4 linked regions of the Caenorhabditis elegans genome follow. The protein of the gene in region 1 interacts with the protein of each later gene in a pairwise test. Each region holds a gene or a part of one and is shown in the gene's direction. Other genes may lie near its edges. The genes, in order: ifa-4, npp-2, npp-10 and elt-7.

The links.
Region 2: the proteins of ifa-4 (region 1) and npp-2 interact in a two-hybrid assay, tested with the Caenorhabditis elegans proteins (one large-scale study listed by BioGRID).
Region 3: the proteins of ifa-4 (region 1) and npp-10 interact in a two-hybrid assay, tested with the Caenorhabditis elegans proteins (one large-scale study listed by BioGRID).
Region 4: the proteins of ifa-4 (region 1) and elt-7 interact in a two-hybrid assay, tested with the Caenorhabditis elegans proteins (one large-scale study listed by BioGRID).

The regions. Positions count from the first base shown.
Region 1 is NC_003284.9:4,910,970-4,918,753, reverse strand, and holds ifa-4 (Intermediate filament protein ifa-4), read left to right. Parts: upstream 1-2,774; 5' UTR 2,775-2,777; coding exon 2,778-2,868; intron 2,869-3,384; coding exon 3,385-3,668; intron 3,669-3,724; coding exon 3,725-4,009; intron 4,010-4,052; coding exon 4,053-4,148; intron 4,149-4,193; coding exon 4,194-4,307; intron 4,308-4,355; coding exon 4,356-4,529; intron 4,530-4,578; coding exon 4,579-4,867; intron 4,868-5,318; coding exon 5,319-5,398; intron 5,399-5,766; coding exon 5,767-6,042; intron 6,043-6,103; coding exon 6,104-6,142; 3' UTR 6,143-6,446; downstream 6,447-7,784. Other genes in the region: K05B2.2 (Ras-associating domain-containing protein), read right to left, coding at 6,770-6,929, 7,178-7,408, 7,465-7,549.
Region 2 is NC_003279.8:8,289,795-8,296,161, reverse strand, and holds npp-2 (Nuclear pore complex protein Nup85), read left to right. Parts: upstream 1-2,521; coding exon 2,522-2,615; intron 2,616-2,661; coding exon 2,662-3,197; intron 3,198-3,249; coding exon 3,250-3,579; intron 3,580-3,803; coding exon 3,804-3,937; intron 3,938-4,004; coding exon 4,005-4,635; intron 4,636-4,684; coding exon 4,685-4,756; 3' UTR 4,757-4,863; downstream 4,864-6,367. Other genes in the region: Meiotic spindle formation protein mei-1, read right to left, coding at 1-668, 715-1,053, 1,104-1,280; kin-10 (Casein kinase II subunit beta), read left to right, coding at 5,348-5,365, 5,523-5,679, 5,730-5,921, 6,089-6,278.
Region 3 is NC_003281.10:6,012,867-6,022,461, reverse strand, and holds npp-10 (Nuclear pore complex protein Nup98), read left to right. Parts: upstream 1-2,899; 5' UTR 2,900-2,913; coding exon 2,914-3,127; intron 3,128-3,175; coding exon 3,176-3,376; intron 3,377-3,418; coding exon of another isoform or gene 3,419-3,424; coding exon 3,425-3,880; intron 3,881-3,926; coding exon 3,927-4,153; intron 4,154-4,198; coding exon 4,199-5,944; intron 5,945-5,992; coding exon 5,993-6,079; coding exon of another isoform or gene 6,080-6,094; exon of another isoform or gene 6,095-6,289; intron 6,290-6,364; coding exon 6,365-6,856; intron 6,857-6,978; coding exon 6,979-7,976; intron 7,977-8,023; coding exon 8,024-8,479; intron 8,480-8,529; coding exon 8,530-8,689; 3' UTR 8,690-9,015; downstream 9,016-9,595. Other genes in the region: Ubiquitin carboxyl-terminal hydrolase cyk-3, read right to left, coding at 1-129, 245-848, 895-1,057, 1,104-1,368, 1,415-1,651, 1,701-1,817, 1,866-2,019, 2,060-2,130 and 1 more. UniProt on the Caenorhabditis elegans protein: Nup98 and Nup96 play a role in the bidirectional transport across the nucleoporin complex (NPC). Required for the nuclear import of hcp-4 during mitotic prophase, this step is essential for centrosome assembly and resolution.
Region 4 is NC_003283.11:4,768,367-4,774,494, forward strand, and holds elt-7 (Transcription factor elt-7), read left to right. Parts: upstream 1-2,303; 5' UTR 2,304-2,347; coding exon 2,348-2,469; intron 2,470-3,347; coding exon 3,348-3,633; intron 3,634-3,686; coding exon 3,687-3,772; intron 3,773-4,417; coding exon 4,418-4,520; 3' UTR 4,521-4,720; downstream 4,721-6,128. Other genes in the region: C18G1.9 (FERM domain-containing protein), read right to left, coding at 1-433, 479-597, 1,149-1,245, 1,292-1,329. UniProt on the Caenorhabditis elegans protein: Transcriptional activator that binds to the consensus sequence 5'-[AT]GATA[AG]-3'.

The DNA.
Region 1 (7,784 bases):
ATTATGCAGAACGACAACAACAAAGGGAGTCGTATTGCAATATGTGTATTGGTACACTGTAATCCGCACGTTGAGCGCACCGAAACGGCTTAGTCAGTTCTTATGAAAAATATTCAGAATACAAAATACATAACCTGTTTTTACGTTCCGAACCGATACCCCTGAATAGGATATGAACTGTAATCAGTTTACGGGCGCGGTTTAACTTTTCAAGAAATGTTAGCATCTGTCCCGAAAAACTGTCATACTCTTTATTAGAAGCGAAACGCTGAATTTTCACATTATATATGGATTCGCAAAGTTTCCAGTTGTTATTTATGTGTTTTTAATACGTTGCAGACGACGTAGTTTATCCCCAAGCTTATTGTCTACATAGATCAAAAACTTGCGTTGCTTTGTATTTGAGTATATAGAATGAAATCACTAGTACTGTAACTTTCCTAAACCTTCTCGTGCACTTTTTATAATTGAAAATTTGACAAAAGGCTAAATTTCGCTAAAATTCTCCAACTTATACGTGTTTTAGGACATTAGGTTTTATTGAATTATTAATAATTTAGCATATTTGCAACGCATACCTGTGTTTAATTAAATATCAATTGAAAACATACCTTACTAATTAAAAATTAGATTAATTATAATGATAGATAAAAATTAGAAAAATTAGATAATTGAAAATTAAAAAATAATTAGTTGACATAAAAACGCGTTATGATTAACCAAAATGCACCAGAAGAATTAAGCAATTTAGTCAACGTTCTTGGAAAATACAACAAAAAATACCACTTTTATTATGAATTTCGGTCTTGTGCCATTTTATACGGATAGTTTGCGATGTGGCGTTGCTCATTTTACAAAAATTGCAAAATTGCCAGTGTAAGTAGAAAATACCAATTAAAAGCTAAAGACGCATTAAGAAATAATTTCCATTTCAAATAAACGTTGTTGAATTAGTAATACGTGTGTTGTTAGTTTAATTTTCATTTAAATCTCACCAAAATTCAATTTTTACTATTTCACCTGCGTGCAATTTTTGACTCATATGCACTACCCAACAAATATGTTATTTCCCTACCTCCCCCTCCCGCAATTGTAAAGCAAAAAAGTAAAAAAATGTTTAAAAAGAGACTCTCAAAATGCAAATGTTTGTTTTGATACCCGCTATCAATCCGCCCTTTTCGCCCATTTTTTCTTCTCTCCCTGATTTTACAGGCCGAGTTTCGTTTGTGTACATGAAGGCAACAGCTCCGCCTCCGTGTTATTTTGCATATATATTTCAGGCAACACCTACGGTTTGTTTGTCCGACACGGTCTCCTTAAAAGGGAGTACTGTAACTGAGCTTTTTTAAAAATGACACTGGTTCTATTTTTCCAATGCAACCTTCCTTTTAAACGTTAGTATAATACTTAAAAACAAAAAAGGAAAGTTTGTTTTTTTTTCTAGTTTCTTAATTAATAAAGTTCGCATGTACTGAAAAAATGACTCTTTTCCTGATGATAATGCAATTTATTTTATACAAATCATAAGTTTCATTAATCAACAGACATCTTAGCATTATGTTTCAGAACATTTTATGTAGATTTGAATTTTAAGGGAAGTTTTAATTTTAAATTCCGTTTTAAAGAAGACCGTTTGCCGTGAGTTTTTTTTTCAGTGTTGTTTTTATTTTAAATGTTTAACTTCAATTTTTTGGCAGTTTTAAAATGAACTTGTATACAAACAATTTCATTAATAATTGTTATTTTGGCTGTACAAGTAAATCACGAACCATAATCAAAGGCTGACTTGTAAGATGTCGGCCGATTTATCTAAGAACGAGATCGCGGGGTGCAGATTTGAAACAATCTGAACCTGTAGACAATATAATCAGCTAAATTTTATTTATTGAACTTTTTCCCAACGCTAATAGTTTCTGAGATAGACACAATCAAATAAATTTCAGAATTATAGATTAAGACCCTTTTGAACATTGAATTTTTAACAAGTCGTAAACATTTCACCTAAATTTTAGAACACGCAGTTTCGATGCTCTGAACTTATTTTTGTCAATTTGTATTCCCATTATCCTCCCCTTATCGCATACTAAAAATTTTTCCATTTTTCGATTTTAGTTTTGACGTGCTTATCTTTTGTCATCCCTTCACAACCAAAACAATTCAGAATAATATAAGGTGTTTACGATCCTTTAATACTCATGAATATGGAAACGTTGTGAAACAGTAGCATTGTGTATAAACACGCCATGACGGCAGCTAGCATCTAGTAATCGGTCACCGAATCGCCGTCGCCACCGCCGTCCGCTTTTGAATAGCGGTCAGTGCGCGTTCGTCAATAGCTCGATGAACCGTTACACTCTCCCAGTTTTTAGTTTCTGTTTCATTTTCTGTTTCATGCCTGGTTTTTTCCTTCTATAATTTGACTATACAGACAATTAGGAGTAAACCCTCCTAGGCATCCTCTTTCCACGCATGCCAAGTCCCGTCAAAATAAATAGTGCGCGCGCCAATTTGTAACACGGTTTTTTGTTCTGTCAAGAGTTAGGGCTCTCGAAACAGCTAATAGATCTCGCGCATTGTCATTGTGTCCTACAAACGATCCATCTCTAATCTGTGTCATATTCACTCATATTCTTGTCACATATGTATAACGTCATTTACTATGAGGTAACTTTTCTACACTTTTTCATCGAAAAATAGTTCGCTGTGTTTTTTTTTTAATTTTCGATTATGAAAATGCAATTAATTGAAAACTATTTAAGTTTCCATGTTTGTAGGAAATGTCGGAGAGCGAATACCGAAGCTCAATTTCGGTTCGACCAACGTTTAACAGAACAATGCAATCCACCGCCACCTATGGAAGTACTATTTGTGAGTTTTCAGATGAATATTTTGAATATGAGCAGTACTTTGTCTTTAAAATTGTATTATATGATGTATTATATGATTTATATTAAAATTAAACCCTCCAAATGTTTTAATTTATGTTTTACAATATTCAATTGGCAATATGCCAAACGTTCAAACAACAACCCTGACCTTTTGAGAAGTTTTGAACATTTTTGCTGATCTGAACTTTCAAAATGTACAAATAAAATCAATTAAAATTCAATTAAAAGAAAAAACTTGTGGAATGTTTTATTGTCTCACTACCAAAATTATGATTGGTGAAAAATGATTAAGTGAACTTTTTTGACTGTAAAGTTAAAAATAAAAATTTAAAAAGTGTTAAAAAATTATTAACATTAATGAATTGATTCCTCTGGAAAACCTACAAATTTTTTTTGTTTTATGGTCATGTTTGTCAAGTGTTATTTTTCAGTTCTGATACACGTTTAAAAACTACTTCAAACTACAAAAACTGACTTCCAAAAATTCAAATTTCAGCTTCTGGAACTAGCCGCACACTCAAGATCACAGAGATCGGTGGATCTAATCTAACATCAGGCATGTCTCCATTCGGAGGCCATGCCGCCTCTGCCATTCGTGAATCTCGTACTCGCGAGAAAAAAGAAATGAGTGAACTCAATGACCGCCTGGCGAGCTACATTGAGAAAGTTCGATTCTTGGAGGCTCAAAATCGCAAGATGGAGAAGGACTTGAATTTGCTCCGTGGAAAATGGGGACACGATTCTACAAGTGTTAAAGTTATGTATGAGACTGAGCTCAGAGTAAGTGAATGAATATTATATACAGCAAAATCTGAGAAACTTTAAATTCTGTTCAGAGTGCGAAAGACCTGATCGCCGATTCTGACAAAGAAAGAGCTCAGCTAGAAGATCAAATTAAGAAACTTGTTGAAGAGCTGAACAACTATAGAAACAAACTTCATGAGGCTGAAAGAGGTGCTGACGTTACACGTAAAGAGCTTGACAATGTGCTCGGAAGACTTGGAGCATTGGAAGCCGAGATTGAGCTATTGAAAAGAAGAATTTCTCTGATGGAAGAAAGCATCGGTCATTTGAAGCGCGAAAATCATCGTATGATCGACTCACTTCATCATGCCAGAAATGTAAGTTTCAGTAGAAAACTTAATTTATATGTACAGCTTTCAGGCTGTGGAACAAGAAACTCTGAACCGCATCGATTATCAAAATCAAGTGCAGACACTACTGGAGGAGTGTGATTTCATTCGCAGAATTCATGATTCGGTATGAAAAACAATTAGTACAGCTTTCAACGAGTGTCTTTTTCAGGAAATCCACGATCTTCTCGCTATGGCATCTCGTGATACTACGGTGGAAAACCGCGAATATTTCAAGAATGAGTTATCCTCTGCTATTCGTGAGATCAGAAGCGAATATGATCATGTGAGAAAAGTCATTAAAAGAGGTAAAAAATAGAGACTTGAATTACAGGTGAGCAACACTACCCGTACTGACATCGAGTCTTGGTACAAGCTGAAGGTTCAAGAAATTCACACTCAAAATTCTCGCAACTGCTTGGAGCAGAATTATGCTCGCGAGGAAGTTAAGAGACTCCGCACAACACTTGGTGATATGCGTGGAAAGATGGCGGATCTAGAAGGAAGAGTTCGTTTTGATGACTATATACATCTGATATTATTTGTCAACATTTCAGAATCTTCTCCTCGAAAAACAAATCGAAGACCTCAACTACCAGATGGAAGAGGATATGAGATCATATGAACAATCACTGAACGATAAGGACACATCGATCAACAAACTTCGTGACGAGAGCAAGATCCTGATGGTTGAGCTTCAAATGCTCATTGATACAAAACAGACTCTCGATGCTGAAATTGTGATCTACCGTAAGATGCTTGATGGAGAAGAGAATCGCGCAGGTCTACGTCAGCTCGTCGAGCAGGTTGTTAAGACAACATCTATTCATCAAACCAAGGAAATTGGTAGGTTCGCGTATACTCAATGTTTACTTCACGTTACGATGACCACAAATTACGGTTAAAATTTAAAGTATACGTCCACTGATAACTTGTTTCAAGTTTTCAAGTCATGCGGTCACCAAACTGTGTAACGTAACTTTATTATTGTTTTCCGCCCAGAGAGACCGCTGGGTGTGTCCCCTTGTTGATATACCTTGGTCAATTTAGTACTCCTATTTAATCGCTTTACTTTTGATTTGGAACAGCATTGTTTCATCTTTAACCCAAAAAAGTAACATGCCAGAAATTCATTGTTCTCAATACGAGACTATCACTTTTGACGACGTTCCCCATACCCATTACCTTGTCGGTGATAAAATTCGCAGAAAGCCGCACGGTAAGATTAATAGGAGTAATAGGTGTCACGAGGCATTGTTAGTTGCAAATTTATATCAGTTTTTGTGTTTTGTTGCAGAGAGTCTTCGAGTTCTCAAAGGTGAAACGACTAGTCATTCGTCGTATTCCAGATCAGCAAAAGGAAATATTGCAATTCAGGTGAGTGGAAATTACATCCCAAAAATTGATGTATATTCTGAAAAAAACAATTATAGCAAAATTTTGAAAGCAATCATGGACATTTTTTGAGCGAGTTTTTGCCTGCAATTTCCACTGAACACTTCAGAAAATGACTATTCTTCAAAATGGCCGTGCACAAAATTTAGAAATATGTGCCTGGTGTGACGATTTTGCATGATCCGACATTAACCGGGTTCGCTGCTCACTCAGAACCTAGTCCTGTGCAAAACCAAATATATGTCGGATCATGCTGAACAAAAACTTTCCTTAAAGTGGCCGTGCCCAAATTTCTGAAAACAGTGTTTTCGATTTTTCATTTTTGCAAGAAAAAAATCCACCATTTTCAGGAAGCCGAGCCATCTGGAAAGTACATTGTACTGGAGAACATCTCAAGACGTGATGAGAACATCGGAGACTGGAAACTCCGTCGGAAGATTGCCGGAAAACGCGAAATCGTGTTCACCTTCCCGCGCGAGTTCACCCTTCGTGCTCAAAAGAGCGTGAAAATTTTCGCACGTGGGCAGGGAGTTCATTCCCCACCCGATAGTCTTGTGTACGACCTCGAAGACTCGTTCGGCACCGGAAACGACGTCGTTACTACTCTCTACAACAAAGAAGGAGAGGTAAGCGTCAATAAATTATGCGCGCTGGAACTGACTGGAAACGTTATTTATCTTGTTTCAGGACCGTGCTTCCCACAGCCAACGTGCTTCACACACCTAATTGCATCAACCAATTAAATCCTATTGAACCCGGAATTACTCTCGCTTGCCTCAACTCTCTACTTTTAATGTTTGATCGAATCTTGACCCAAGATACATTTGTTCTCACCGTTAGCCATTCCTATAAATGTTCGGATTTTCAGAATAAACCAATACTGTTTTGAACCGCCAAAGTGAAACATTGATTTTCGTTTCATATCATACGAAAAGCCTTTCATTTTTTGGCTAACTCTCTAACATTTCCATTGCTTTACCATGTGCTTTTTCCATCAATTAACATTTGTAAACTATAAACTGCTTATTTTATTTCTGATCAGTTTGCTTGGTTATTTTTTTGGGAACTTTTTGTTGGACAACTGGGGGAATAGAAATGGGTAAATGCACAGGGAAAGTAAGGAGAAATGACATATAGAAACAAATACAGAAAAAAGTGATTCGTGGGAAAATGTAAACTTTCCAGAGTCTGATGATTGAATAATGCGGTAAGGAATGAAGCCAATTCTTGAGTGGGGGTTTGTGAGAGGGAAAAACTTGAAATAACTGAAGTGGGATAAAGCCGATAGCTTGACACGTGGATCGACAAAAATACACAGATAACATGAACGCTAAAATTTTGAAAGTAAGGAGCTCAGGCAATGACAGTTAGTGGGGTGGAGGTCCCTGAACATCCCAAGTCGAAAGATGTCTCCAAGACTTCTGAATTCTCATCTCCATTCTCATCTTGCTTCTTGAACTCGGCCAACTTCTTCATCAAGTCTTTTTCGGTTTCTTCGACGCGCAAGATGTCACTGAAATTTAAAAAAACAATTAAACAAACAGTTCTTCTAAAGTGCATTTCGTTTGTCAATTTTGTGGTCCAAGTTGCAGAATTTTGAATACATTTGGTCGACGTGACGTCCTTGATAAGGCAATCAGCCGAACACTCTCAATGTCAATAGATAAAGGACGACGTGGTCACAATCACGTGGATCGATATGATCATCATAATTTCCGGGGTCTCTTTTGTCTGGCATAGTTCAAAGTTCAAAGATCTTACCTTCTAGTCTTGTTGATTGCTTCTTTTGTAGCTGCTAGCGAAGCCTTCAGCTTGTGCGATTTCTTGAGCTCAAGTTGGTATTGTTGCGGCCAGTTTGCAGCGATCATCGGCTTCAGAATTGCTCGCAAATTTTTCTGTTGCTTAAGCAGTTGACGAAGCTCTTCCTCCTGCACAAGATACTCGGCGACTTCTTGTTGATTCATCGTTTCCGACAACTTTTTCACGTCGGCTCTGAAATTTCTTCAATTGGGAGTAAGGCACAACCAATCAGATCACCAAAGACTCACCTTTTGAAACAATCAAAATCGTCTTTCTGTGGGATAGTGGCGGCGCCCATCGTGATATTCTTTTTCTCCATGACTGACATGTAGTCTGAAATGAGATTATATACTAGAAGACATGGTCGGATGACGATGAACTATCCGGTCAGGTCGCGTGGGCGGTCTTTCATACTATTTTCAACCAAAAACCGGAGGAGGATGTGAGATAGTGTGACACAAAATTTGCAACACTGCTAGATTTCTAAAAATATAGTTGCCGAATTCAAATTGACGTAATATGTATTTTTTTCTTTTTCAAAAATCACATTTTTGATTGTATTTTTTTA
Region 2 (6,367 bases), on another chromosome or scaffold:
CCTTCAGTCCTTGCCGCCAAGTCATCATAGTTAATTTCATCGGATTTCGGAGTTCCTTCCATTGATTTTTCGATAAGCTTCTTTCTTGCATCTATATCTGGCAGTGGAATGAAGATTCGCTTTTCGAAACGTCTTCGGAGTGCCTCATCGAGCTCCCATGGAATATTTGTGGCGGCCAGCACGAATACACGTCGCGAATCGAATTTATTCTGTGACCCGTCCATTTGTACCAGAAACTCGGATTTAACACGCCGACTCGCTTCGTGTTCTCCAGAATTTCCACGTTGTCCACCAAGTGTGTCAATCTCATCGATGAAGATTATGGATGGAGCATAGAACCGTGCAAGTTCGAATAACAGACGAACAATCTTCTCGGAATCACCACGCCACTTGCTGGACAGATCAGTCGAGGAAACGGTAAAAAAAGTTGAACTAGACTCTGAAGCAATCGCACGTGCGATAAGAGTCTTTCCAGTTCCAGGTGGTCCAGCGAGAACCATTGCTTTCCATGGTGAACGGAGACCCTGGAAGAATTCTGGCACCAAGAGTGGAAGAGTGACGGCTTCGTGCAGAACTTGCTTCACGTCGTGCATTCCGATTATATCATCTAAAGACATTGTATTTTCCGTATTTGTAGCCATTGTACCACGCACCGCTTGAACAATGTACTGAAAAGATTTCTGATTTTTGTTTCTGGAAAACATAATAACTTACCGCATCATAAGCCGATGCATCGAATGAATCTCCAGCACTATTTTGAGGCAGTATTCCTTGTGTTGGATTCGCAGGCTTCACATCAGCCGGATTCGTGCTCATCGACGACGTTGACTTTGATATTTCTCTGGGACGTGGACCTGCTGCTCCAACTCCTTTCTTTGTTGCTCCAAATTTCGATGAGGATGGTAACGGTGGCGATGGTTTGGACCAAACATCTGGGTCTGCAGGTGGCTCTGGACTTCCACTTTGTCGCGTCATCGCCTCGTGTAGGTCATCTTCATCGCGCACATTTTGTTGGACAAGCTTCAAATTAGCCTCTAGGGCTCGTAGGAATGTCTGAAATTTCAAATAATTCAACAAGCTTTTAAAAGATTTATATTACGTACATTTCTTGCGTCATGCTCGTCTCTGTTGCTTGCCGAAATTTTACAGCTTTTGACATCTGTCATGAGCTGACGAAGAAGATCACCAGCCTCATTCCATCGTCCGGCATCGGACATTGTTTTCGCGACTTGGGCTCGCTCCAGATATCCGCGAATGACTGACTGCACATCCCCATTCATCCTGAAAATATACTTTAATTTTTCAATAATATACACTTCTACAGACGAGAGGATGAAATTTAGTATAAGACAATGGGATTTGGCGGAGAAGAAAATGGCAAGATGATGAATGATAACGAATAGGGAAACGACGGAACGGAGTGTGCGTGGACTTTATTAGATGGGAGAAGAAGATTGTACCGTGAAGATGAATTTAATATTATTTACAGAATAAAATGGTTGAATAGAAAACGATTTTTCTTTTTTTACTTGATATTGGCTCACTTGTTGGAAACATTGAAAGAGTTTAGCCGCAAAACAACAAGTATTTACAGCGGTAGATCACACAAAAAATGATAGGTCAAAAAAAGTTTTAGGAATTAAATCCTTAGCAAAAGGCTTGAAATCTGAGATCTTTCAGCGAGATATAAATGATTAGAACCTTCTAATTGCATATCACTTGAATAAAACCAAAATTAAGCGGCGAGTTATTGATTTTTCAGAAAACAGATTTCTGCTGGTCAAACCTCAGAATTAGCTCATCCGCGACAAACAATTAATTTACACAAAGCAAAAAAAAAAAAATTGATTAATAAAGAGAAGAAACAAGAGCAGTTTGAAAAGGAAATAATTGTTTCACTTGTTTAACAAAAAAAGATCATAAAGGTATAGACGAAATTTGTGTTGTCCGGAGCCAGTTTGATTTGCACAATTATAGTGTAACTTCTTAAAAGATATCTATAGAAAGCTTTTCATAAAAAGTAAAAAAATAATTGCTCAGGGCTCCGCGGAGCTGGAGCTCCGGAAGTATGGCGCAAAAGTACAAGTGTCGTCAGTTAAAATGTCGAGTACGCAATACACCCCAGACACTGTCACGTCTGAATGCACAATCGCTTGCAATTTGAACACTTTCAATTTTCGAATTTTAGCGGAATTCCGCGGAAAACTTTTACATTTTCTTAAATATTCTTCTCATTTTTTAGGATTATTATTATTAATTGGTTTTTTAAAACTGCCGTGTAGTCCATCATTGTACTGATTCGAGATTAAACGCGTTATTTTTGTTCAAATTCCGAGAAGAAACTCAAGAAACAAAAGGAAATTTTAAACCCTATGGAATTATCAAGTTAAAACCGTAAGAAGTTTTACAGAACTCCCGGAAAAATTTTATTTATCAGAAATCTCAATTTTATAAGTTAATGTTTCTACCGTGCTTACTATATTTTTAATACCACTTCACATGACATTAGTATCTCTTTCAGATGACGGATGTCGCTCGAGAATTCGGGATAGCTGTCAGCGACTCCTCCACGGTCTTCGCCTTCCTAACAGATAAAAAAGGATTTTCAAATAAAGGTAAAAATTGCATCTTCTTCAGTTTCCAACATAAGAGATTTTTCAGAAACAGTCTTGGTCGAGAAAGTTTCACAAAATCGACAAATTCTTGCGACACCAAATCTCAGACGACTTGTTATCGAAATGTATTCTGTATTTGATAAATGTCAAAAAGGCTCCTCACCTGATGCACCTCTAGACACGCCTACTTGCTGCACATTCTCTCGAGCTTATCGTTCAGTTCTCTACAATGCCGCCGTGTCTCACAGCAGTTCCGACTTCATGACAGACTTTGCTTTGTGGTCACTTTACGAGAAATTATGGTTTGGAAGAGGTGATAGCTCGATATGTGCGGATCTTATTTCATGGGCCAATCAGAGCTTCACGTTTTCTAGAGGAGCCATGGAATCAGCTGTGGAATATCTGCATCCGGGGAAGACGATTCCAGAAGAATATTGGAAGGGAGTAGCAGTCAGCTTGCTTAGTTGCAATTTCAGCGATTGTGTTGAACTGTTGGAGCTACATGGAGGCGGATCAGAATGTGATGCATTCATTGAGGCTCTCACATTCTTCAATCCCGAAAACTTAGTCGACGAAGCATTAGTAAGACCCATTTATATAATAATTCTTAAACTTCGTAATATTCTTATTTCAGGCTAACACAGTAAATGAATGGAAGGATATCATGCGTGAAAATTTGACAAGTGGGAAGTACGGGAGCAACGAAAATTTCAAATATCTTACGAAGCTCCTACTCGGTGAGGAACGATACCTCGTATCTATGGCTTCACGGATTTTCGACACGTGGTGGCATTTTCTGCCATTCTTTGTGCTTGTCAAGAATCCATTCGCCGGACATGTCGAGCTCATTGAGCTAGCTGATGAGTGTAGAACACTATTCGTTGGAGAAGAGGAAGAGGAGGGTGCAAAGGAAAATGATGTATTCTGGTGTCTTATTTCGAAGGATGATATTAACTTTCAACAGGTTCTTGTTTTTATTCAAGAAATTAAATTAAATATAAATATCTCTTGAAAATAGGCTCACTATTTCTTTCACGATTAATTAAACGGCGACAGAACATTTCATTCAATTTTATCCCAATAAAAAAAAATCAAAATAATGTTCAAGAATATTTAACAATTTTCTTCAAAATAAATTCTAGATTGTTTTAAATAAGAATTAATTAATTTTACTGAATAAAATTTCAGTTGATTGCCTCGAATCCCTGGCTCGCAGTTCACCTGGTTGATCTTATTCACAAATCCACATTGGATCCCGAGTTTGAAGTGATGAGGAAAATGCACATGTTGGACTACGCCAGTGTTCTTATCTCTCATTCTCCGTTAGTTTTTGAAATTTCTAATTACTGAAAAAACATTTTAAAATATAACTTCACAAATTTTTTATAGTCTGTGGGAAATCGGAGCCGGATATCTTATTGCGTGTGGTACCGAAGGACTTCTACGTCTCGAAACACACATCGAAGGGCTTCACATTGAGGATGATGAGATGGCTGAGCAGTTGCTGGAAATATGTGAAGAGCATCGACTGGAAGACGCGAAAAGTTGTGTGACAAATACAATGACTTTCCGGTATCTGAAGCAAGGACATTGGAGTTCAACACTCGCTTGGGCGTTGAAAACTGGATCCAAAAAGACAATTGACTGGACAGTATCTCGAATTGTTGGTTCAAGTTCGAAGGATGAATTGGCTGCATTAAGAGTTTTATCTTCAATAACCAATCATTCTGTACTCTCACTTCCATCTCTTACCTTCCTCTACTCTTATCAACGATTTGTGAAGATGATGCACTGTGGTGATGTACTGGACTGTGTTCAACATCTGATACCGCTTATTATGATGCCTGATGTTCCAACTCAGTATTACTATGATCTCTTCGATTATTTAATCACGATTATCAAAGAGGATGGGCGTGCTGGAATCCGATTTTCCAAGGAGATTCTCTATGAGCTCTCAACCTTTTTGTCAACGTTTACGCTTGATAAACATCGAGATTTGAATGATAATTATATGAAAAAGGTAAGTTTTATAGACATTTTTATGATCATATAATTATAAATTGTTACAGGTGAAAGTGCTCAAAAAGATGGTAATGCTCAAGTTGACAGACTCGATTGCGAAAGGAATTGCGTGCTCTTGAATAATTTATGAATTAATTTTATTTTATTTACATTTGCCGATGTTCTTTTTTGTTCTGGGATCTCAGAAAATTTAATTTTTTGTATGTGAATAAGGATCACATCTCTTAATTTTTTTACTATTACTTGGTTTTCCACACAAACTCGTTGAATTTCGAGGCCAACCTACCTTCTTTTCGAGTTTTCCCCAGAGATCGATAGTGACCTATGTGCTATGCAACCGTGCCCCATTGCACGTCCACAAGGCCTCGTCAGCTCCCTCGTCCTCTTTTTTCTGTTTCGACAGAAAACTGCTGGAGTTTATGAATTTATGTGGGCGCACATGACTGTGATCTATTGATTTTCTTCTGCTTTTTTCAATAATTCTGAACCATTTCACCCAACCTGTACCCATAATTTCAGGCAGTTGTGTGCTTTGCGCGCAACTCGGCCAGTCATCGACGTGAACGCCACGGCTTCTGCTCGCTGGCGCCAACTCGATTCCACTTCGGTGAGTTATCATTAAAATATTATCAAAAAAAAATTTCTTTTGATTACAGGCAGAGTCTGGTTCGCAGTCAGAACAAAGCGCTAGTTTGTCTGGATCAGAAGTCATGAGTAGTTCGGAGGAGGTTTGTATTATATTTCTATTTTCTGCGGAAAACAATCAGAAAAATCTAAATAGCCGTTTTTTTTAATGATTTATATTTTAAACTATGAATTTAATAACAAGTTTTATGGTCGATTGGTGAAATTTATTTTTAGTTTCGAATCTTTTTTTTTGTTCAGGTATCATGGATCACATGGTTCTGTGGCCTTCGTGGAAATGAGTTTTTCTGTGAAGTCGACGAGGAATATATTCAGGATCGGTTCAATTTGACAGGTCTCAATGAGCAAGTGCCCAAGTATCGACAGGCTCTTGACATGATTCTTGACTTAGAACCAGGTGATATTTTTGCTGACTTCATGTGCCCCCGCAATGTAACCTTTTTCTAGAAGATGACATAGAGGATAACGCAACGAACACTGATCTTGTTGAACAAGCCGCTGAAATGCTTTATGGACTCATTCACGCTAGATATATTCTTACGAATAGAGGAATCTCACAGATGGTCGAAAAGTGGCGTGATCATGACTTTGGAGTTTGCCCACGTGTCTACTGTGAAAATCAGCCAATGCTTCCAATTGGTGAGTTATAAAAAAATCGCTACTTCATTGGTTGCGGATAATTTTTTTTGAGAAAAGTGAAACTATAAAGTACTAAATTTTCCTAATTTAAAAGTGCATTTCCAATAAAATTTAAAACAAATATTTGTTTTTACACTAAAATTTCTGTAAAATTCCAATTTTTCCAGGATTGTCTGATGTTCCTGGCGAGGCTATGGTGAAATTGTACTGTCCACGTTGCAATGATGTTTTCGTTCCACGATCATCACGTCATCAACATACTGATGGAAGCTATTTTGGCACCGGATTCCCACATATGCTCTTCTTTGTTCATCCTGATCTGCGTCCACGCAGACCAGTCACTCAATTCGTTCCAAAGTATGTCAGAGGATATATATTAAGCTAAATATTTGAAAATCCGAAATTCTAATTTAAAAAATCTTTAAAATCTCGGCAATCGAGTAAAT
Region 3 (9,595 bases), on another chromosome or scaffold:
CCAAATTATCCTCATCCAAAAAATATTGAGTGAGTGGGGAAACTCTCGCAAGACACTGGATTCCGGCGTTACGGTAACAGAAGTTACCGTAGTTAACAAGACCAACTGCTCCTGGGCGACCTGAAGAATCTTATGGGAATTGATTGACAATGAGAGCTTTTTGATAATTGCGATTTTTTTGTTTTTTGAGAAAAAAAACATAAACTATTTATGTGCTTTTAATAAAGTCGAATAAAAGATTTACCTGACAATTGTGCATTCGAGGATAAAGTAGAAGCAGCAGTGATTTGTTTCCCGGAAAGAGATGCTCGTAATTCTTCTGGCCACACTCCTGTTCCTCTTTCTCGTACTTCCAGTAAAAGCTTCATTTTATTCACTTTTTTCGTTTTCCCTAGTGACGAGTATAATTGATGTAGATTTTGTGCTCCATCGTCCAAAAGTACATTTCCTTCTTCATTCTCCTTCACAACTTGCCAAAGCCTTGCGTCTCCATCTCCGAGTCGAAGTTCTGTCTTGCACAGCGCGAGAAGCTCATCCACAGTCATACTTCGTGATACTTGAGCACACGCCCAGGATGTCAAGGATCTTGGAGTGTTTTCTGTACCATCCTGGCTCTTCTTACGATCATGGCCCAGAAGGAGAATTTCGAGTGGATACAGTTCAAGAGCGGGCTTGTTGTCTTCAAAGAATTCACCATCCAGATACTTTCTTGTGAATTGTGAATCTACTGTCAGTGCACATCCGTGCCATCGGAGCCATGCTCTCCAAAGTGGAACAGGCACTCGGATGTAGTCAGATGGAATAAGATCGGGTTTCAGACGAGCTGATTCAGCTGAAATGCAAGCAACCTGAAAATTAATTAATTCTTTACTTTTCCGGACTAGAAAGTCAAACCTTGCTGGTCCAGCTATCTTCTCTTGTTCCCTTGATACCAGAATTATCGATTGGATTCGGATTTTTATCTGCTTCCAGGAAGGATCTGAGCTCAGCATGCCATCCTGAAGCTACAATGTTCCACTCGGAAAGTGGAAGCTCAGAGGCACGTTTTTCAAATTCGCTGAAATTCAAAGTTATTTAAACTGAGAATTGAAAGCTACACTAACTTCACAATTTGTAATTCCATTTTCCGTGACTCTGGTCTCAATCCGAGACAAATGTGTCCGATTTGAAGAGCCATAGAATAATATTCATTGACATATTTTTCGTTTTCCTGTGCCCATATTCCAAAATCAACGAGAGCAGATTTCCCATTCGATGATTTTGTGACAGTCTGATGTTCTTCTGGGACATTAAGATCTTTGTACATGTTAGAAAGTTCTTCGTCAGACAGAAGTTTGTCACAGTCGACGTCCCAGATTCGTGCCAACTCTAAAACAACTTTTTAGTTTCTCAAAATAATTTCTTAAAAACTCACGAGAAATTCTCCCTGGTAGAGGTCCACGACAAAGAGCCGAAAGTGTACAAACGAGCTCTCTGAAGTCAATTTGACCATCTCGATTCTCATCGAAAACAGCGAATAATCTCTCAGCATAACTATCCGGGAAGCATCCACCCAATGCTTGTTTCCACTTCTCTTCATTCAGTTTGCAGACAGCTCGATCACTGATCGTGGCGAACACTTTCTCTAACTCGATAACCTCGTTCACGGATACTGAAAAATGGTTTTTGAAATACGGAAATCAAGATAATTTAAATCTTACAATGCGTCACATAAGACATCACTTCGTAAAATGAGATATAGGAATCATTGAGCGGAATCGTAAGCTTAGGAGGACTCAATCCCCATGACGCGAACTCGTGATATTCTTCGATAAACCCTGAAAATAAATAATTTAATATTATTTCTGAAATGTTTCTTGACTGACTCGATTGTACTTCTTCTACTCTACACAATCCAACAAGAGATGAAAGCAAATTGTCAAAGGAAATGGTTTCAGCGCCATGAGAGAAGAAGCTGAACAGCAGGCGTCGTTTTTCTTCTGGTATCTGCGCGCCTCCGAGAACATGATAGCAGAATTCCTTAAATGGTGAAGTTAAAAAAATAATTAAAAACAGTTACGTCATAATTAATGCATCCATTTTTGAAGCGTTGGAAAGCTTGGCGAATTCGTCGATACTCCTCGTCCGATACTAAAAATTTGAGTTTATGTTTGTTTTGTAACATCCCTGAAACTCACTATAAGTTTTAGCATCTTCCGCACTGATAATCGGTGCGATAGCGTTCGAACGTCCAGTTAACGTGTTACCCATTTCGGATTATGGCATTTGAGCATCTGAACCAGATTTTCTTGCCGAATCTGAAAGAAAAAATGTAAAAATCAATTTATTTGAAAAGAAAAGCATTTGTAAAAGTTTTTCAGTGGAGACCGACTTTAGAACGATTATGGAAAACAGTTTATTCCAATAAACCCCACGAAAAAACACGAATTGCGGGAAAAAATAAAAGACTTGTCGAGAACTGTCAAAAACCCTCGCGCAGTGAGACAGTGTGTGAACTTAAGAGACGCAGGGTGTATAATGCAAACTCGCTCTGTTGCGATTTCAGAATCACTTCGAAAAAATTTTTGCATTCGAAATCATTTCGCTCATTTTTTCATCTCGAGTTTGGTTGTAGAAGTTGTTCTCCCATTTTTTGTGTTATTCTTGCACATTTTCAGTCATAAATATGTACCTGTAACCTGATCAATCAATCAATGTCCGTCTAGTCGCATTAGCGTGCAATTTGAGTGTAGAGTAATTCCGATTTGGAAATCCTAAAGTACATTTTCAAGTAAATGCTATCTTTTTGGTTGTATGAAAACTTGTGACAGCTCTTAGCAGAATGTTCATGACAACCGCCTTTCATTCACTGCAAATTATTACTTGCTCATCGCTTCATCTATAACCGTCTCATCAATTGCAAGTTTCAGCTAAATGTTCGGCCAGAACAAATCATTCGGCTCATCGAGTTTTGGCGGTGGCAGCTCTGGGAGCGGTCTATTTGGACAAAACAACCAGAACAATCAAAACAAAGGATTGTTTGGTCAGCCAGCCAATAACAGTGGAACTACTGGCCTTTTCGGGGCGGCACAGAACAAGCCGGCAGGATCAATCTTCGGAGCGGCCAGCAACACTTCCAGCATATTCGGTATTTTGATCAATAATTGTATGCGTTTGATTTATTTTAATATTTTAGGAAGTCCGCAGCAGCCTCAGAACAACCAGAGTTCATTGTTCGGTGGAGGGCAGAACAATGCCAACAGAAGTATCTTTGGGTCAACTTCTTCAGCAGCTCCCGCAAGCAGTTCCCTATTCGGTAACAACGCTAACAATACTGGAACCAGCAGCATTTTTGGTTCCAATAATAATGCACCATCTGGTGGAGGTCTCTTTGGAGGTAAACAATTGATTTTCGATAAATAAATTAATCTTGTATCAGCTTCAGCATCGACCGTATCTGGAACCACTGTTAAGTTTGAGCCACCGATCAGTTCTGATACTATGATGAGAAATGGGACAACTCAGACAATTTCCACGAAGCACATGTGCATTTCTGCAATGTCGAAGTACGATGGAAAGAGTATTGAAGAGCTCCGAGTGGAGGATTACATTGCAAATAGAAAGGCTCCCGGAACAGGAACGACTTCCACTGGCGGTGGGCTTTTTGGAGCATCCAACACAACAAACCAAGCTGGAAGCAGTGGGCTTTTTGGATCAAGTAATGCTCAACAGAAGACTTCTCTGTTCGGGGGAGCTTCGACGTCATCTCCATTTGGTGGGAACACGAGCACAGCAAACACTGGAAGTTCATTGTTCGGTAACAACAACGCCAACACGTCTGCTGCAAGTGGATCTCTTTTCGGAGCTAAACCAGCGGGCTCGTCACTGTTCGGATCTACAGGTAAGAATAAATCTAGCATCAACACAATTTTTAACCTTAAACTTAGCTACAACAGGAGCTTCAACATTCGGTCAGACAACTGGATCGTCTCTTTTCGGCAATCAACAACCACAGACGAATACTGGTGGATCGTTGTTCGGGAATACACAGAATCAAAATCAATCTGGGTCCCTGTTCGGCAACACGGGGACGACTGGTACCGGACTCTTCGGCCAAGCTCAGCAACAACCACAGCAACAATCGAGTGGATTCAGTTTCGGAGGTGCCCCAGCGGTGAGTTAAGATATCCTAGAATTTCAATATTTTATTAATTTTCAGGCGACAAATGCTTTCGGTCAGCCGGCTGCTGCAAACACCGGTGGAAGTCTCTTCGGAAATACTTCGACAGCCAATACTGGCAGTTCGTTATTTGGTGCGAAGCCTGCAACAAGTACCGGCTTCACATTTGGAGCCACTCAGCCAACAACTACAAATGCCTTCGGTTCCACAAATACCGGAGGTGGATTGTTTGGAAACAATGCAGCAAAGCCAGGTGGTTTGTTCGGAAATACGACGAATACTGGAACAGGCGGCGGTCTCTTTGGTTCCCAGCCACAAGCTTCTTCAGGAGGACTGTTTGGTTCAAACACTCAAGCTACACAGCCGTTGAATACTGGATTCGGAAATCTTGCTCAACCGCAAATTGTAATGCAACAACAAGTGGCCCCGGTACCTGTGATTGGCGTTACGGCTGATGTCCTCCAGATGCAAGCAAACATGAAGTCATTGAAGTCGCAGTTGACAAATGCGCCGTATGGTGATTCACCACTACTCAAATACAATGCGAATCCAGAAATTGATGGGAAGTCTTCGCCGGCTAGTACTCAACGACAGCTGAGATTCCTTGCTGCGAAGAAAGGCGCTCTGTCATCGTCTTCTGATGCACAAGATTCGTCGTTTATCATTCCACCAATCAGCAAAGTGATGAGTGATCTTTCTCCAGCAGTTACCAGGTCAGCCGATGTCACCAAAGATTTGAACTACACTTCCAAAGAAGCGCCACCATCACTTGCTCGCGGACTTCGAAACAGCACATTCAATCCGAATATGTCGCTGACAAATCGAAGTGTTCACGAATCAAGTGCCCTCGACAAAACTATCGACTCAGCTCTGGATGCTTCCATGAATGGAACTTCAAATCGTCTTGGAGTTCGTGGATCCGTGAGAAGATCGAATTTGAAGCAGTTGGACATGTCTCTGCTCGCAGATTCTTCGAGAGTTGGAAGAGAATCCCGTGTAGCTGATCCAGATGCTCTTCCTCGAATCTCTGAATCCGAAAGACGTCAAGACGTTGTCACTTCCACTCCAGCAGTTGACCCCGTTCAGGCTGTAATCCAGAGACATAATGACAGAAATAGAGATCCACCATCGTTGAACTTGGATACGACATGCGATGAGCACACTGGCTTGGAGCCGGTGTCTGCTGCAACTAGTTCAGCAGCATCTGTTGTGTCGACGCCTTCTGAAGAAACTGTTAATGTCAATTCGGCAGCAGGAGTGAAGCTTACAAAGCCCGACTACTTTTCTCTTCCGACAATCAATGAGATGAAGAACATGATCAAGAACGGACGTGTTGTGTTGGAGGATGGATTGACAGTTGGAAGATCGTCGTACGGAAGTGTCTACTGGCCAGGACGAGTCGAGCTGAAAGATGTTGCTCTCGACGAGATTGTTGTATTTCGTCATCGCGAGGTGACGGTTTATCCGAATGAAGAAGAGAAAGCTCCAGAAGGTCAAGAACTGAATAGGCCAGCAGAAGTGACACTCGAAAGAGTATGGTACACTGATAAGAAGACCAAGAAAGAAGTGCGAGATGTCGTGAAACTCTCCGAGATTGGTTGGCGCGAGCATCTCGAGAGACAAACGATTCGGATGGGAGCCGCATTCAAAGATTTTCGTGCAGAAACTGGAAGCTGGGTCTTCCGTGTGGACCATTTCAGCAAGTATGGATTGGCCGACGATGATGAGCCAATGGATGGGTCCCCTCCACAGCAAGCACTACAGGCATCTTCTCCATTACAAGTGGTAAATTTTTAAAACTCATTTTACCCTTTTACACAAATAGTTTTCCAGATCGACATGAATACATCTGCTCGAGACGTGAACAATCAAGTGCAAAGAAAGAAGGTGCACAAGGCAACGGATGCTCACCATCAAGAGGTCCGTTTTGAATGATTGTCACTCACTATAATTCAATCATCACCGTATTTTAATTTTCCTTCTAAACGTTTTGCTGTTTCATTTAAAAATTTTCTGCTTTCATTCTTAGCATTTCACATGACTGCTTGCCAATACCATCTAGGGCAGGCTAAAGACTCAAATTATTCTCGTTTATTCTTTTCTAACTCAATAAATTTGTTTTTAAAATTAGCCTCTTCAAATGGTATTGGTAGACAGACCGTTTAGGGTTTAATATGGAGAGCCATCAGCAGTTATTTGTTTCAGATAATTCTGGAACGAGTTCCGGCACCTGCTGCATTAGGTGATGTTGTGCCGATCATTCGTCGTGTTAACCGAAAAGGTCTTGGTGGTGGAACATTGGATGATAGTCGAGAAGAATCATGCATCGGAAATATGACCACCGAATTCAATGAAAGTGGTCATGATTCAATTATTGAAGAAGGTCAGCAGCCGGAAAAGAAGCCGAAACTTGAACTTCTCGCTGATTTGGAATACGAAAGCAGTCGATTCATTCGCAATCTCCAGGAACTGAAAGTCATGCCGAAGGCCAACGACCCAGCTCATCGGTTCCACGGTGGTGGACACTCTGCTAAAATGATTGGATATGGAAAGAGCAAACTGATTGATATAGGAATTGTGAAGGGAAGAAGTTCACATGTCGGATGGAGTGAAACTGGATGTCTTGTGTGGTCAGCTCAACCCCGACACAATCAAGTACTCTTTGGGACAATTGATAGAACATCGGACGTGAATGAGGTAATATTTGTGACTTTATAAAAGCCCTTCTGTGATTTACAGTCTATTTGTCAATTGGATTTCTAAGTACTTTTTTACACCGTTCTCTTCTATGGCCCATTTTTAATTTAATCAATTTTCAGAACACGCTAATCTCAATGCTTGATGTGAATGTTCATGTATCTGAAACCAGTCGCAAGGGTCCATCTTCACAATCCAACTCGGTTAAATCTTCGCTCACTTCTAACTTCGTCACTTATTCTGACTCATATTCATCCATGTTTGCCAAGTACATCGATGTCGCTCAAGCTGGTGGATATGATGGACATGTTTCTGTTTGGAAGTTGATATCTGCTCTATTCCCATATGAACGTCGAGAAGGATGGTCTTTCGAGCGTGGTGAAGAAATTGGAGAATGGCTTAGAACAGAAGCAGTGAAGTCTGTTCCAGACGATAGAAGTGCGGATACATCTTCAAATGGTGTTTGGAATCAACTCTGTCTTGGAGACATCGATAAAGCTTTTCAAATTGCGATTGATAATAATCAGCCACAGCTTGCTACGATGCTTCAGACTTCTGCTGTGTGCCCAGAAGCTACTGTTCATTGCTTTAAAGCACAACTTGACAACTGGAAGAAATGCGAAACTCTTCATTTGATTCCGAAGGAAACTCTCAAATGCTATGTTCTGATGTCAGGACTATCACACTACGAATGGGATCAAGACGGAAAGAATCATTCGATCAACTGTCTTGATGGACTCAATTGGATTCAAGCACTCGGTTTGCATGTCTGGTATCTTCGTGCATGGACTGGTCTAGAAGAATCTTACGATGCTTATCAGAAAGATGTCAATGCTGGCCGTGCCGCTTCTAATCGTGGAGATCTGCCCGGAGAACTCATCAAATTGGCATGTGAATCACAGCACTCAGTGGAAGTTGTACTTGACTGTGCAGCTGGAGAAAATCCCAACGATTATTTCCTTCAATGGCACGTATGGAGCTTGCTCTATTCGGTTGGATACCGTACAATGTCAAAGACTTCGGAAACAAGACTTCACAGAAACTATTCATCTCAATTGGAAGCATCAAGTCTCTCAAAATATGCATTGTTTGTTTTGCAGCACATTGATGATGATGAAGAGTGAGTTGAATTTTAGAATCTTTCAATTTATAAATATATTTATCCAGAAGATCAACAGCAGTTCGTTCCCTCCTCGACCGTATTGCTCGTTTCACCGACAATGATATGTTTGATTCTATTTCCGAACAGTTCGATATTCCTTCGGAATGGATTGCTGATGCTCAATTCTCAATTGCAAAGTCAGTCGATGATTCTACCCAACTTTTCGAATTGGCTGTGGCTGCAAAGAACTATCTGGAAATTTGTCGCTTATTTGTGGATGATATTGCACCAACTGCAGTTGTAGCTGGAGATCATGACGCTCTCAAAGCAGCATGCGCGATGGTTCGTCCTTTCGAAAATCAGATTCCCGAGTGGGGTGCGACTGGAATGGTCTACACTGATTATTGCCGATTGATCAATTTGATCGAAAATGATGCGGAAGAAGAACTCTTACAGGACGTGCTTGAAAGTCTGGAAACTCGTCTACATGCTCCTACAATCAGCAAGAACAGTCTTCAAAAGTAAGCTATTGGGACATAAGTTTTTTTTAAAACTATTTATATAATTTCAGGCTCTCTCTTCAAACAATTGGACGTGTTTTGTTCGAGTACCGTGCTGATAAGAATACACTTCCAGAGTGGACAAAGCTTCTCGGACATCGGCAAATGTTTAAGATCTTCCGTGATCGTTCGTCTTGGGGAATCGAAAGATTCACAATTGAATTTGACTAGACTAGCCACTTTTTAATTTATTCATTTTTCACCTGATTCTAATTTTATTTTTTTTATTTACATTTTCCTGCCCTCTCCGTCTGTCTTCCTCGTATATCATCATTTCCCGAATCGTCTTTTTATTACTATGAATATGAACTTTTTGTAGGATGTTATTACTGTTGTGTTCTATTCACATGAGAAAACTAGTACAGAAATTTAGAAATCAGCAAAACGATAAATTGAGTACTCGAATTTAATTTAAAATTCAATTTCCGACCACGCGATGATGTTAATCTAGTACATCTTGATAAAAGTTGCTAAATAAATGGAAAGTTTTCTTGAATAATTCAGTCTGGCGGATTTAGCCAGTAGGAATGATCGTTTCTTAATTGGAGTGGTTCGCTTCGTTTTACGAGGTAGAGCAATTCGGGAGGCCCCACGAAAAGGGGAGCAGAACGAAAAGGGGATCTGCAAAAAGGGGATCTGCGAAAAGGGGAGATACGAAAAGGGGAGCAACGAAAAGGGGATCTGGCACTGTGCCAAACGCTATTTTCCTCGAAGAAAACGATACAACGATGCTCCGATGTTACGCGTCGCGTGTTGTTAAGCGTATCTTCTAGAAGAAAATTTCAAAAATCAACGTGCGCTGCGTGAGAAAAATTGCGTTTTGTGCGTTTGGCACAGTGCCAGCTCCCCTTTTCGTTGCTCCCCTTTTCGCAGATCCCCTTTTTGCAGATCCCCTTTTCGTTCTGCTCCCCTTTTCGTGGGGCCTCCAATTCGGTTATAGCTTATGCTTAGACTTAAAATTAAGCGTAGGCTTATGTTGATCTTCAGTTTTTTTTTTTTCAAAAAAGTTGTCCAAGAGTAATACCTTCAACGGACATTCAGCTTGTTTGACGAAACTAAGAGAATTCAATTTTGGTC
Region 4 (6,128 bases), on another chromosome or scaffold:
ATTTGTCGGGCGATCGTAGATAAAACACATGGCCCTTTCGAAAGCAAGCACTCCAATTGCCAATCTATCGAGTTTCGAGAGATACGGACTGTTTACAGCCATCGACATAGCTGTCACGAGATTGCTAATAAAGTCTCCAGAATAGCATGGGTAGTCAATCTCATGCATCTCGGGCCGCTGAACTTGAATAGCTTCTGGCACAGTGAACGTGTCTCGATGTGGTTTCTTCAAAAATTGGAAGACTGAACCACTTTCCCCTGTCTCTTCAAGATGCTTCTTTTTTAGACTTCCACTGAATCCTCGTCGTCGAGCTGCCATAGCCTTTTCGTGTGTCTCATTGCCATCAACAATTCCGTTAATAAGAACATCGAGGACGCCAAGTGGAAGATGTTGAGGTGTCAAAGGATGCGTGGGTGGGATACAGACGTTCTTGCTAAAAGATGGATTTACTTTTCGATCGCACTAAAATTTCACAAACCTCAAGAAATCGTGAGCAATCTGGACAGTGATTATTGTGCAAGCAGATGAGGGAGTCTTCCGGCCACCATATTTCGATTGAGAATAGCTCAGTGGGAGTGCCCACACGTGGACACGGTTCTGAAAATTATATTTGTTTATGTTACGGTAGTGGGTCTTTTTAGGTATCGTATCCGCAAATGTTCCTCAATTTTTCACTAAAAACACATTTTAGCGCTATGAATTTGGTGAAAGTCTAGAAATAGACGATTACGAAAACTTGTGGTGTACGGTAGCTGAAAGGTTTCAATCGTGCCGAGACCAGGTACAGTATTTCCGCGCACATATTTCTCCATTTCCCCGTACTTTTGGTTTTTTTTTTCAAAAACCCGGAGTTTTAGCGCTATTAATTGCGAAAAGTTGAGCGAAATTGCAAAAGTACAGTGTATTTGTTTCCACTTCTACGACTTCAAAAGAGGGCGCATTCATTCAAAATGGTCTCGTCACGCGCCATTCATTGATTTTTGAAGCGCGTGGCGAGACCAATGGGTGGAGCGTGGCGGGACCATTTTGAATAAATGCGCCCTCCTTTAAAGTCGTAGAAGTGGAAAAAATAAACTGTAGAGGTAATTTTGAAACACATGCGGGTACTGTAGGCACAAAGTTCCGATTATAAAAATCGGGATTCATACCTCAAACACTGCCGATCGGAAATTCGAATTAGCCATCTTATACCAATTTTCTGCAGATTCCTCATTTTGTGTGGTGTAAGTAATTTCGTGTCGAGATCTGTAGCGGTTAACTGAGAACTCGTAATTCTAATACCTTATATTACCTCCGAGTTGTACTCAATCCTGGTCTCGAGACGCACATTGGGGGTTAGTCGGTTAGTTGAGAAGCCGCGAATGCTAGTAATTTGAATAAAAATAATGAATTTAAAATCGCCTCTCACAGTTCTGAATTCTTATCTTTTTCCAAATCTACACTTTTTTTAATAGAAAAATACAGTTTACGTAAAACTACATTCCATGTTGATTTTTCAAGCATTCATTTTAAATAAATTATATGTATTTTAAAAAAAAACACGTTAGAAATAGGCTACCGATAATACAAGAATTAAATTATAAACACTATGCACTCTCACAATCAGTTTATGCCCCTTTTGCACATTACTTCAACTTAAAAAAAAATAATTGCACACTTCCTCCAGGACACAGCATTTCAACTTGGAACAAGATTTCCCATTCGCGACAAATTTGTCCAATTTGCCATTTGTTAAGCTCGGAATACTCTAAAATTTGCCTTGAGTTTAGAAGAAAGAAATGAATGAAATAACACAAAATTTTGTGAGTATCTTTAAAAAAAATTTTTTTTCCAGAATGCTACACTTTTAAAGCTTTTTCGTCAATTTTGTGATCCAAAAAATAGTTTTAAAATATCGAGATTTTCCGGGTTCGCCGACCAGGGCAAATTTGTCAAATTTGCCGGTTTTGCCGGACTCTGCAAATTTTGAGATTTGCCGCACCCCCCCCCCCTCTTTCCCATGTTTCCTTTTTTTGCTCGTCCACTGGCACACAAGGCATAGGTACATGCATCTCTGACTTACCACTAATTTACGACTATCCATAAAAGTCCCAAGTCATATTTACTTTCGTTCTCCTTCCCTTTAAGAACTTTGCCGTCCAGGTTCATAGTCATTATATCATAAACTACTAATGATGGGTGGTGAGCCACACACAGTTCCCCATCACCACCGCCGCCGGTCTATCTTATCACTCTGACCTTTTTTGTCTCTTTCTCTAGGATCTCTCCGGGCTCTTTGTTACTTTCCTGCCTGTAACAAAGACAGACATTTGTGGTTAGAGTTGTCTGCTCTAGTCGACTGGAAAAAATGCTCCCTGAAACTACTACTCTTCAACCACTTCCATCTGTTACGACTATCATGAATGAGCCGCCAGCGAGAAGTCCAATGGAGGACTATTATTTATTTAATCAATTTCAATATAATCAAAAGTAAGTTTTGAAATCAAAACTGTTTTATTGCAGTGCATAAAAATGTTGCATAATGTAATTGTATTATTTTTACGGCAAACTTAAATTGAAATATTCACTATCAACAGAATTATATGGTTTTTACATTACTACCAAAATATTACTTTCCTGTAGTAATGTATACAAAAACAACAACTTTGTTCCAACATGTGACCAAAACTATGTTTTATTGAACTCATGTAGCATAACTGATAAAAATCAATATCGAATGCTCCAAAGTATACTGCTTATAATCAGTAGTTTTCAGTGTTTTTGAGAATAGGAATCTTTGAGAATTATTATATTTTTTAAGGTTTATTATTATAATTTGAGAGTCTGAAAAACGAGTTTCATGCTGGGAATGGCTTAAAGTGTATGACTTAACATGTTTCCTGTTTGGCAATTGTAGGTAATTTCCAACTTTCTCTCAAAGTTTAACAATTTCCTACAAAGCAGTTAAAAAATTCTGTCTACCTTTCGTAACTTTCTTTCAAATGTTAACACTTTTTGCAAAATTTTTGCAACTTTCTGTCAATCTTTGGACATTTTCTGACAACTTTTTGCAACTTTCTGCCAACTTTTGATAGCTTTCTTTTAAAGTTTAACAACTTTTTGCCAACTTTTGGCATCGTCCTGCCAAGCTCTGGCAACTTTTTGACAACATTTGGCAACTTTTTTCCAACTTTTGGCAACTTCTTGCAAAACTTTTGGCAACTTTCTGACAAATTTTAACAACTTTCCGCTTAACTTTTCCTGCCAAATTTTACCAACTGCTTACAAATCTTTTGCCTAGTCTCCTGCACCACAAATGTACTACAAACTCAGCTCAGCTTGAGAGAATAAAAACTCCAACTTTTCAGTCCATATGTCTACCCACCGCAGCCCGTGTACTACAATACTTGGCAAGATGCTTCAACTCATCACTTTGATCCATTCCAGAGTTATCAAATTCCATCTCCATACGAACAACCAATTCAGTCGTCAATGTGTACTACTCCATTACAACCACTTGAAGATTCCAGAATTATTTTTGATGAAAGCTTGACGAAAAATGAAAATGAGCAAAAATCCTTTGTGGAGCAAGATAGCAGTTACGAATCATCTGGAAACCGATTTGGTTCACAGAAGGGAAAGAAAATTGCAAAAGTAGGATTCGAGGGTTTAGAATGAAATAAATATTTCTATATGAAATTTTTCAGGTAATTCGTGATGCGTGCTGCTCACACTGCTCAACAACTACAACCACACTTTGGCGTAAAAATGATGAAGGGAATCTTGAGTGCAAGTAAGTTTATATTTTATTATATTCTTTTATATTATTTCTACCAGGTGTGCGCGGCAACCGATTGTTTTTCTGGCAAGTCGGCAAATCGGCAAACCGGCAATTTGTCGATTTTCCGAATTTGCCGAAAATTTTCGGCAATTTGTGGTTTTGCACATTTTTTTTGGAAATTTCCGAATTTCAATTTTAATCGGCAAAATTGTACGCATCCTATGAATGTTCCTACATCTATTCTGAAAAGTAAGCAAGTTCTGTGAAAATATCTAAAGAAAACGGAGAAAACATTTCAAAAATGCACAGTTTTAAATGTTTCCGTCTTATAAAAAATCCCTCTAAAAACAAAAATCATCAATTCAATTTCCGAAAAATCGGCAAATTGTCGGAAATGAAAATTTCCGGCAAAATGGCAAACCGGCAATTTATCGATTTGCCAAATTTGTTGACAAAAAAATTTGCCGAATGGCACTTGCCGCCTACCCCTGAATTTTTTCGAACATTTAGAACATTTACATTCCAAATCAAAAATTCTCAGTTGAACTTGCTTATAATTTTCGATTATTTTTTAGAATTTCGAATTTAAAATTTTATTAATTTTAATGACTAGTTAAATATACATCATTAGTTCCACTATTAAAGTAATATTTTCAGTGCTTGCAACTTGTATTACCGTCACAACAAAGTGAAACGCCCGTTATCCCTCTGCAAGCAGAAGCCAACTACTCGAAAGCGGCGTCAAGCAAAAAAAGAATAGACAAGTTTGGACTGTATCGCCATTTTTCCAGCATATTACGTATCCCTCTACATCAATTGTACCGTGTTCTATGCGCTGATTTGTATTCGTTTTTTAAAAAAGATTATATATCTATGTCATCTTTTCCACTGATATTACCATATTCAAACATTTGTAATGTCAACTTCATTATTATTTTTCTTAAATAAAACGTTAGAGATACTACTTATACAAATATTGTTACAAATAATAATGTTGAAAGATTCTATGATAAGATGAGAAATTGGTGATATGTGGGATATTAATACAAAAGTGGGCTTTAATGTAGAAATTGAAACGATGAGACCAGGGACAGATGAAACCATCAATTTCTATATTCTGCCAAGCAGCCTCTAATAAATGCCGAGTGTGCAGACTCCGCCCCTCTTTCGCGTTTTTTTGGCTCGCGAAAGAAGGTAACACTACGTTTGGCTTTACAGCGTCACGAAGTTGTCCCAAAGTTGTCACAAAGTTGTCACAAAGTTGTCACGAAGTTGTCACGAAGTTGTCACGAAGTTGTCACGAAGTTGTCACGAAGTTGCCACGAAGTTGTCACGAAGTTGTCACGAAGTTGTCACGAAGTTGGCACGATGTTGTCACGAAGTTGTCACGAAGTTGTCACGAAGTTGTCTCGAAGTTGTCACGAAGTTGTCACGAAGTTGCCACGAAGTTGTCACGAAGTTGTCACGTAATTGTCACGAAGTTGTCACGTAATTGTCACGAAGTTGTCGAACACCAAAGTGCAACTGCGGCGAGCTATGGAAAAGCAAACTCAGTTACAAAGACTTCCTGGAGAACCTAATATCTAAAAATGTCCAAGTTGAGGTCAGAGAGTACAACAATAGAAGGCTAAAAAAGAGTCCCATAGGGAGGAGATGATGATTGAAGTCTCACTGAATGACGAAATTGTGGAAAAGGACTAGTGACTTGTGACCGCAGCAGATTCACCAAGCTGTGTGAGGAGAAATATGTTTTATTGCTCAGGTTTTGTGTGGAATTGTACCAATAAGATTCGAAATACGTGGGTTAAGAAAAATATTTTGTTGTTAGAGAACAATAATTTAATTTGAAAGGCTGCAGAAATTACAAAGAACACTCAAAATGAAAGGAAATTATTTAAATATGGCTTTTTGTGTTTTGGAAAAAAAAAATCCAAATGCATATTGCAAAAAATTTATTTAAGTTCTAAAGATAGAGTATCCCGAGTGATAAGTTATTTTTAAAAAACCAAAAGGTTTTCGATTTCTCAAAATTTTCATTCAAAGTTTGACCAAATATGCCAAAATTTCCTAAAATGGGAATTTTTTTCGAGAAATGTCTAGTATTTTTCGCGCAGTGTCGTTCTGTCCCTATGTATTTTGAACTTTGATCTCTGATCTTTGAACTCTCTTTATTGTAGTTGGGCAGGTTTTGGGTTGGGAGCAGGGCTGAGCAGCCGCCCAAAAAAATCGGCGATCGGCGATCGCCGATCGCCGATGGAAATTTTTTTTATCGGCAATCGGCGATCGCGGATCGCCGAAAAATCACGAAAATCGCCGATTGCCGCTCACCCCTGGTTGGGAGTTGGTGTGGGATTATGTTAAGGTGCTG